Linked DNA regions of Mus musculus. The protein of the gene in region 1 interacts with the protein of each later gene in a pairwise test. Links are inferred from orthologs where the notes say so. Each region holds a gene or a part of one and is shown in the gene's direction. Other genes may lie near its edges.

What was found.
Region 2: the proteins of Sat1 (region 1) and Hoxb9 interact in binary tests that used the Homo sapiens proteins (3 or more experiments, as listed by UniProt). The two-hybrid records come from large-scale screens. The link is inferred for Mus musculus from reciprocal best matches to the Homo sapiens genes SAT1 and HOXB9.

What each region holds. Positions count from the first base shown.
Region 1 is NC_000086.7:155,213,709-155,217,616, reverse strand, and holds the start of Sat1 (diamine acetyltransferase 1), read left to right. Parts: upstream 1-1,167; 5' UTR 1,168-1,448; coding exon 1,449-1,514; intron 1,515-1,780; coding exon 1,781-1,832; intron 1,833-1,932; coding exon 1,933-2,016; intron 2,017-2,386; exon of another isoform or gene 2,387-3,482; coding exon 3,483-3,584; intron 3,585-3,679; coding exon 3,680-3,720; intron 3,721-3,908. UniProt on the Homo sapiens protein: Enzyme which catalyzes the acetylation of polyamines. Substrate specificity: norspermidine = spermidine >> spermine > N(1)-acetylspermine. This highly regulated enzyme allows a fine attenuation of the intracellular concentration of polyamines.
Region 2 is NC_000077.6:96,270,307-96,274,214, forward strand, and holds the start of Hoxb9 (homeobox protein Hox-B9), read left to right. Parts: upstream 1-1,023; 5' UTR 1,024-1,235; coding exon 1,236-1,752; intron 1,753-3,908. UniProt on the Homo sapiens protein: Sequence-specific transcription factor which is part of a developmental regulatory system that provides cells with specific positional identities on the anterior-posterior axis.

The sequences.
Region 1 (3,908 bases):
GTGAAATCAACTCTTCAATAATGTAAGATGGCATACATCATTAAAGCGAATTATCAAGTGTTTCTCTCCTTCAGAAGGAAAGTCCACAAGGAAGAACAGATATTTAAGAAGGAAAGCGGGAGGAGTAAGAAAGAAAATGTTGCCAGGTGGTGGGGGGCAGAGGCAGGAGGATCTCTGAGTTCCAGGCCAGCCTGGTGTACAGAGTTCCAAGACAGACAAGGCTACTCAGAGAAATCTTGTCTCAAAAAATAAATACATAAATGGAAGGAAGGAAGGAAGGAAGGAAGGAAGGAAGGAAGGAAGGAAGGAAAGATAACATTTTAAATTTAGCCATTGCAACACTGGTTCTCAACCTTCGTTATAATGCAACCATTTAATACAGTTTCTCATGTTGTGGATTACTCTCAACCATAAAATTATTTTGTTTCTACTTTTTAACTGTAATTTTGCTGCTGTTATATTGTTATGAATTGTAATGTAAATGTCTGATATACAGGCTATGTGATATATGACCCCAAAGGGGTTGTGACCTACAGGTTGAGAACCACTAAGCTAGAAGGAAAGCAATCGAGGGATCCTAAGAACTGACCTTAGAACATACAAGAATAGCAGGCTGTGGTGAACATGTTTAATCCTAACACTGGGCAGACTGAGGCAGGCAGATCTATGTGATTTGTGAATTCTAGGACAGCCTGTTGTGACATAGTGAGTTCCAGGATAGTCAAGACTACATAGAGAGACCCTGTCTCAAAATTAAAACAAGATTCAAACCCACACCTTTCTTTAGTCATGAAAATGGTGACATCACCACATCTCAATGAACTGCCTGTGGAAAATTACTAGAGAGGAAAGGAAATTATGCCTCCAGACGACACTTTGAGAATGGCTGCTGCTCTCATCTTTCTGTCATACCCTAAAGCTGGGCTTCCTGAGTTTGCTTTTCTCGGCAATGTCGGGGTCACAGAGGCAATCCACATGTTCTATTTAGGAAGGTTACCAGGGGACAAGCTGGCATTCATATGCTTCCGGCAAGGATCCGCAAGGCGCCGCTAGAGGACATGAGGCTAGAAAGGCAGCAGCGCGCCTCGCCCTACCCCGCCCTCCGGGTTTGCGCCATGGGTGTCACGAGAGAGCCCGGAAGAGGGCAGTGTCTGGAACAGAGGGCGGTGCTTCGGCGGGCTTTCATCCTTACTGGTCGCGATCTCTCCGGCTCCCCGTCCAGGGAGGAGCTTCTGCGGACTTAAAAGGCACCGTCTTGCCACTTCTTAGCTGCGCAGTTTCCCCGAAGTAAGTTTGCCAGTTTTCTGTCTTATACTGAGGTTCGCCGGGTCATGGTGCCAGCCTGACTGAGAAGAGGACGCTCCCGGGAAACGAATGAGGAACCACCTCCTCCTGCTGTTCAAGTACAGGGGCCTGGTGCGCAAAGGGAAGAAAAGCAAAAGACGAAAATGGCTAAATTTAAGATCCGTCCAGCCACTGCCTCTGACTGCAGTGACATCCTGCGACTGATCAAGGTAGGTAAAAGTCCGGGCTCTCCCTAGGGCAGAGGGTAGGGGAGGCTCTGTTGACCGGGGAAATCCTCATCTGCAGTTCTGAGACGCAGCCAGGCCAGTAAATTCCGCCTTCTTGGCCTGCCAACCCCAGCCCGGGTCAGGCTCGGCTGTTCGGCGCCAGGCAGGACTCAGTCACCGCTCTACCCTGCCTGCCCCATTTCTCTTCCCGTGAGCTGGCTAGGCTGGCCAGGAGTTTCATTGTCCTTTTCTTTATATGTCGTCCCCAGGAACTGGCTAAATATGAATACATGGAAGATCAAGTCATTTTAACTGAGAAAGGTAACAAGGCGTGGCGGGGGAGGGGGAGGGGCGGGTAATATCTGTTTCCTGGCACCTCCAAAGGTCAACTCTCACTGTCTCTGCCTCCCCTGTCTTACAGATCTCCAAGAGGATGGCTTTGGAGAACACCCCTTCTACCACTGCCTGGTTGCAGAAGTGCCTAAAGAGCACTGGACCCCTGAAGGTAACCCCTGATCCCTGTCGAGAAGCCAGAGAGAACTAATGTTATATCAAACCCGTAGAGCCTACTGGGCAGAACCCGTGACTACGCGGGCAGAGGTTACTGAGGAGCTGGCTGGAAATAACAACCAGCCAGTGTGCAAATGACTGAGGAAAAAAAATATATGTGTAGTGTACTTTCTAATAGGGCGGGTTATGAGAGAGCTGTTTGAGCAAGTATCAAAGTTCTGTAGAAACCCGGAAAAGTTAGTTATAATGTCATTTGTTGTAATTCCGTTTCATAAAATGGTTTTTGTTTGACCCTAACCTAACTTTTTTTTTTTTTGTAATTGTGTTAAATCACATTTTTTTCTTTAATTTGTCCCAATCTTCAGGTTACAGTCTCTAGCTTCGCCATGTACATGGCCCTTCTGTGTACATGGATGGGCGGGGAGGTAACTAAAAGACCCTTTACACAATAAAGTAGATGATCATGATAAATGAGGTAAGGTCCTATTATCGCACACTTAAAACACAGTAGATCAGAAATTTATTTTCGCTTCCTGTCTGTCTGCAAAGAAATACAAAATGGCTAGAAAATTTAATTTGCAACCATTGCCTCTAATTTGCAACCTTTGCCTCCATTTGAAATTGAATTGACACTCCTTATGAGGTAGTCAGTTGTTAATTATTATTTTTAGTTATGTATTGACACCTTTTTTTTTTTTTTTTTTTTTTTTTTTTGCTGGCCCTTGTTGACTGGTCAGGAGACGGCTAAAAGGGGAAGTTGTTTGGGTGGGTGCTTTCTTGAGTTTTCTTCTGATGTTTGTTCCTTAGGCTCGAAGATAATCAGAACACGTAAGGGATGAACTAAGTTTTAGAAGTATGTGGGTGTTATGTAACACCTGTTTCTGGTTACTGCTATTTCTCCTGCCTTAAAGAGTGGGGGAAGTAAATTGAAAATTTATATGTGGGAGGGCAAGTTCTGAAAGTAAACATGGTTCTTTTGGTCTGGTCTTCTGACCTTAAGGAAGCAAGAGTTGGTAAACTGCAAGTATTTCCTCTTCTACACTGCTGTGTAAACCCAACTTTTGCCAAGCCAACATACCAGCATGTCATTAGGATGTGAATAATGTGTGTGTTTAGTTTAAGTCCCTGGCCCTTTTGTTCTGGCAAGTACTGAAAATGTTCTCATTTCCTAAGTGTGAGTCCTGCAGAGTACAGACTAGCCAGTCCACAAGTGTAGCCTAGCTTCAGCTATCTCTAATGTGTGCCTTTTGCAAGTACATGTCTGAGACCAGAGAGATCATTCATCATTGGTCTGGACTGTAGTAGCATAAACATAAGGAGGCAGTCCAGTTCCTGGCTACTTGTTTCAGTGGTGCACGCATATATATTTTCTTACAATCTACACTAGGCTTCTGATTCTACCAATACAGCTTGAATGGGTTGTTTTTCTTCTTTGCATCTCATGGGATACTCTGATTACAGGACATAGCATTGTTGGGTTCGCCATGTACTATTTTACCTATGACCCATGGATTGGCAAGTTGCTGTATCTTGAAGACTTCTTCGTGATGAGTGATTACAGAGGTACAGTTGACTTTGGGATTGGAGGTAGTTTAAGGAGAAATCAGAGCTCTTTGGCCTTAAAATGACTTAAGTAGAATTGTATTTCTTTCCTTTAGGCTTTGGTATAGGATCAGAAATTTTGAAGAATCTAAGCCAGGTATGTTCACTAGCATTTCACTGCATAGAGCCCAGGCTGGCCTGGTCCTCCTATGAGCCCTGGCTGGCCTCAAGCTCTTCTTCATCTGCCTAGTGCTGGGGATTAGAGCTGTGACCAGATGTCCTAGATTTGGGCTTCTGCATTTGTAAGAGTTACGGGGTTAGTGTAATGAGTGAATCAAGGTTGGG
Region 2 (3,908 bases), on another chromosome or scaffold:
AAAGCGCTAGAGTGCTGAGAATTTAGCTGGCCTCTTTCCCTTTTTGGATGGAAAGGAAGGTAACCCGGTGTTCCTTACTGTGCCGTTTGGGGAGTCTTCTTCCCCTTCTCCTTTAATCATTTCCCACATTAGCCCTCTCATCTGGACATTTTTAAGGGTCTCAGAGATTCCTGGATGAAGGACAAGAAATGACCATGGACCCAGCCTTTCACAAAGGCCCAAGAAAAATTTTAAGGAGTTAAACAAGACTGGTTAGTCTCCCGAAACTCTAGTTCCAGGGCCTGGTGTGTCTCTTTGGCCTTAGGCAGGCTATAATTTCAAGACAGATAATGATTCTTTGGACACTAGTCCCCTTTCGCCTCTCTCAGCTGCTAAAGGATCAAGGGAAGAGCCTAGTCACGTAAATCTCCCCAAATTGTGCCCTGAACCCCCTCCAAAGAGGATAACTGTCCTATAAAAGCCCCAACTTCTTTCTCATCCTTTTACTTCATCTCCTGTGGGTCGCTGTACTGCTGTTGTTTAATAAACATCTCTGTCAAGGGGACAGAGGACAGGAAATGAGGGCCCGCGGGGTGGAGGTGGAGGTGTTGGGGGGGGGCGACAAGACTACCTCCTCTTTAATTACCCTGTCGGGCCTCTCCCGCAGCTCTGAGGCTGGGGCGCTCTCCCTCCCTGTATGCTGGTCCTCCCCCCCCCCCCAATCTGCCTGGGGAGAGGGCTCCTCAGCCTGCGTCCCTCCTGAGGCAGCCCGCTGCTTGCCTCCGCCTCTCCTCCGCCCCCATCGCCCCATGTTGAGAACCCCCCTTCCTGTAAAAGCGGGAGGGGCCCGGGCGGCCCGGCAGCTCAGGCTGAGGTTACGTGGCCGCCGGAGCCCTGACGTGATAGCACATTGCATCAGCATAAAACAATCCATCCTGGATATGGAATGCGGTGAGGACGGATGACAGCGCGAGCGCAGCCCCCTCGCCCGATTGATTTATGTCGGAGCTGACGCTTTATCAGGCAGTCCGCAAAACTTTGACCAATCATTTTGCAAGGAGCTCCGAGCCGGGCTGCTCCACTGTACTTTGTTGGCTGAGAAGTTGAGCAGGGGGTGGGGGTGGGAGGGTGGGGGTCTGGGGGGGGTCGCGTCCGAAAGCCCTCTGCACCGGGTCCGTGTGCCACCTTTTCCCTGCTTGGGCGCCGCGGCGCGAGCGCTTCCCTTCCCCCTGCGAGCGCGCGGATAATGTCTGAGAATGTCCATTTCTGGGACGCTTAGCAGCTATTATGTCGACTCGATCATAAGTCACGAGAGCGAGGACGCGCCTCCAGCCAAGTTTCCTTCGGGCCAGTACGCGAACCCGCGGCAGCCGGGCCACGCCGAGCACCTGGACTTCCCCTCGTGCAGCTTCCAGCCCAAAGCGCCGGTGTTCGGCGCCTCCTGGGCGCCGCTGAGCCCGCACGCCTCGGGGAGCCTGCCGTCTGTCTACCACCCCTACCTGCAGCCCCAGGGCGCGCCGGCGGCCGAAAGCAGGTACCTCCGCACCTGGCTAGAGCCGGCGCCGCGCGCCGAGGCCGCCCCGGGGCAGGGCCAGGCGGCCGTGAAGGCGGAGCCGCTGCTGGGCGCGCCGGGGGAGCTGCTCAAACAGGGCACGCCCGAGTACAGTTTGGAAACTTCGGCGGGCAGGGAGGCTGTCCTGTCTAATCAAAGAGCTGGCTACGGGGACAATAAAATTTGCGAAGGAAGCGAGGACAAAGAGAGGCCGGATCAAAGTAAGTTATAAAAAAAAAAAAAAGTGAGGAAATCCCCCCCAGGCTGCAGGCCAGGCCCGGGGGAGGGGAGGGGAGAGGCCATAAAGCGGACAATGTAAAGGGACAGAGCGCCTGGGGCCGCAGGGCTAGAGTGGGTGGAGGGAAGAGGAAGGAAGGGGCTGGCAAAGCAAAAAGCTGGGTGTCCAGGAGGGGGACACTGAGGCTACCCCCCACTCCTCCTTGTGGCGCAGGGACTGAGACTCAGGGACCAAGTCTCTCTAGTCCTTCATTCTTCCCCAGGCTCGGGCTGGAAAAAGGGAGAGGGACCTGCGATAGAACTGTAGGAGGCCGGGCCGATGGCCAGCGCGGCCCGGAGCCCGCGCGGGCACGGGGCCGAAGAGCACTCGGCAGAGCCGCCTGCGCCACGCGCAGACCGTCCCTGCCGGCCAAGGGGAAGGGGGAGGGGGCTCATTAGGATTTTATTTGCGATGCAACAGCTTGGCGGAGGATTGTTCCTAGCAGATCTCACGCAGTAGCCGCGTCGGGTCGGCAGCAGGCGCCGGGAGGGGCGGGGGAAGCCCAGGATGCGGTGACGGAGCCCCCTCCCCGGTGCGCCGGCCCCTCCCCGGGAGCCTTCCCTCCGGGGGTCCCCCGCCCTTCTAGGGCATCCTCGACAGGACGGCCGTTTCTCCTCCTGCGGTTGCACGCTGATCTCCGCGGGGCTTCCGATCACTTAGGCCGGGCAGTTCACCTCTCCGAGAGTCTAGGCATCACTTGCTAAAGACAGGGCCTCCCTCTAGAATGGAGGAGAAGACACCCAAAGGGACCCCGGGGGAGGGAGGGGGAGGACTGCGCAGGGGCGGAGAACTCTACCCTTGGTGGAGAGTTTCTTACCACCTCCCACTCCTAAAAGCACCCTTGCTAAAATAAAACCCCAAGTGGAAACTGCTGCTGGCTGAGAGTAGAGGAGGCTTACTTTTAGGGGTTTGTTTTTAAGGATGGGGAAGACAAACTGGTTTGGGGCTCGCTCTTGGTCCCAAACAATACGGGACAAACTGACAGGTCAACTCCTCACCTCTTCCTCCTCTGGGCAAATAGTTTGGTCCTTGCTCGCCCTATTGGATGCCCCACCAACAGAGAGGCCAATGGGTCCTCTGGGGGCATGCTTGCCCTCTGAAAAGCAAGGAGAGACACTATTCCCCTGTGACCCTTGTGGTCCCCTCATACCTCCAACTTGCCAGGCTGAGTTATTAAGGAGCTCATATCCCCAAAACAGCTCCTCCCAAAGCTCCAGAAAACACCCAAACAGACCCCTCACCCCATGGCCCCAGACTAGGCCTGAGTTGCCCATCATTGCAAGGCAGCCATTTGGCTAGGCTCAATTATTAACAGTTTTTTTTTTTGTTTCCTCTTTCATATTTAATGAAAGAGGAAAAGGCTGCGGGTCCCATCCCAGACAATCACATTAAGGGAATAGCGCTGCAAATTGGCAGGACACGCTACTTAGTGTAGGATGAAGTGAATTTTAAAATATACATAGATATTCAGAGCTTTTCACTTGGGGGCTAAGCTGGTGGAGTGGATCTTGCTTGTAATTGGCTCTGCTTTGGGAGGCAGGTAACTTTTCTGAGTCCCGAGGTCTAAGGAGGGATGCTGGACAGAAAAAGAAAAAAAAACTGTATATGTTATTTGCTCTTTGTGCCCCTCTTCCACTCAATTACACCTTTCTCTGCCTCTCCATTGGGTCCGTTAAAAGGATTGGTATGCTGGGAAGGGCTTTCTGTCGTCCCCCCCGCCCCCCGCCCCCCCCACCTCATCTCTGCTTCTCTATCTTAGAGCTGTAGCAATTTTGCTTCCCAGTTTCCCTGAACTTGTGTTAACCAAACTGTGAGCTGAGTAGCAGAAAAGAAGAGGCTATTGCCACCATAAGTTATCTGGAAGCCCTGGGGCTCCCCGTCCACGGGCTGCAATTGATAAATGGTTGCAATTGGGTTGCTTGTGAGTCGGAGTGTGCAGGGTGTTCATGGCTGTAAATGCAGACTCTTATTTGTGGTGTGTGATGGGGAGGGCTGCTACCCAGACTCACATGTCTGCTGCTTAGGCCTAGGGCTGAAAAATGGCTTCCTAGGCAGGGTTCACTGGGACTGGACTGGAGCACCAGGAGATCTCTTGGCTAT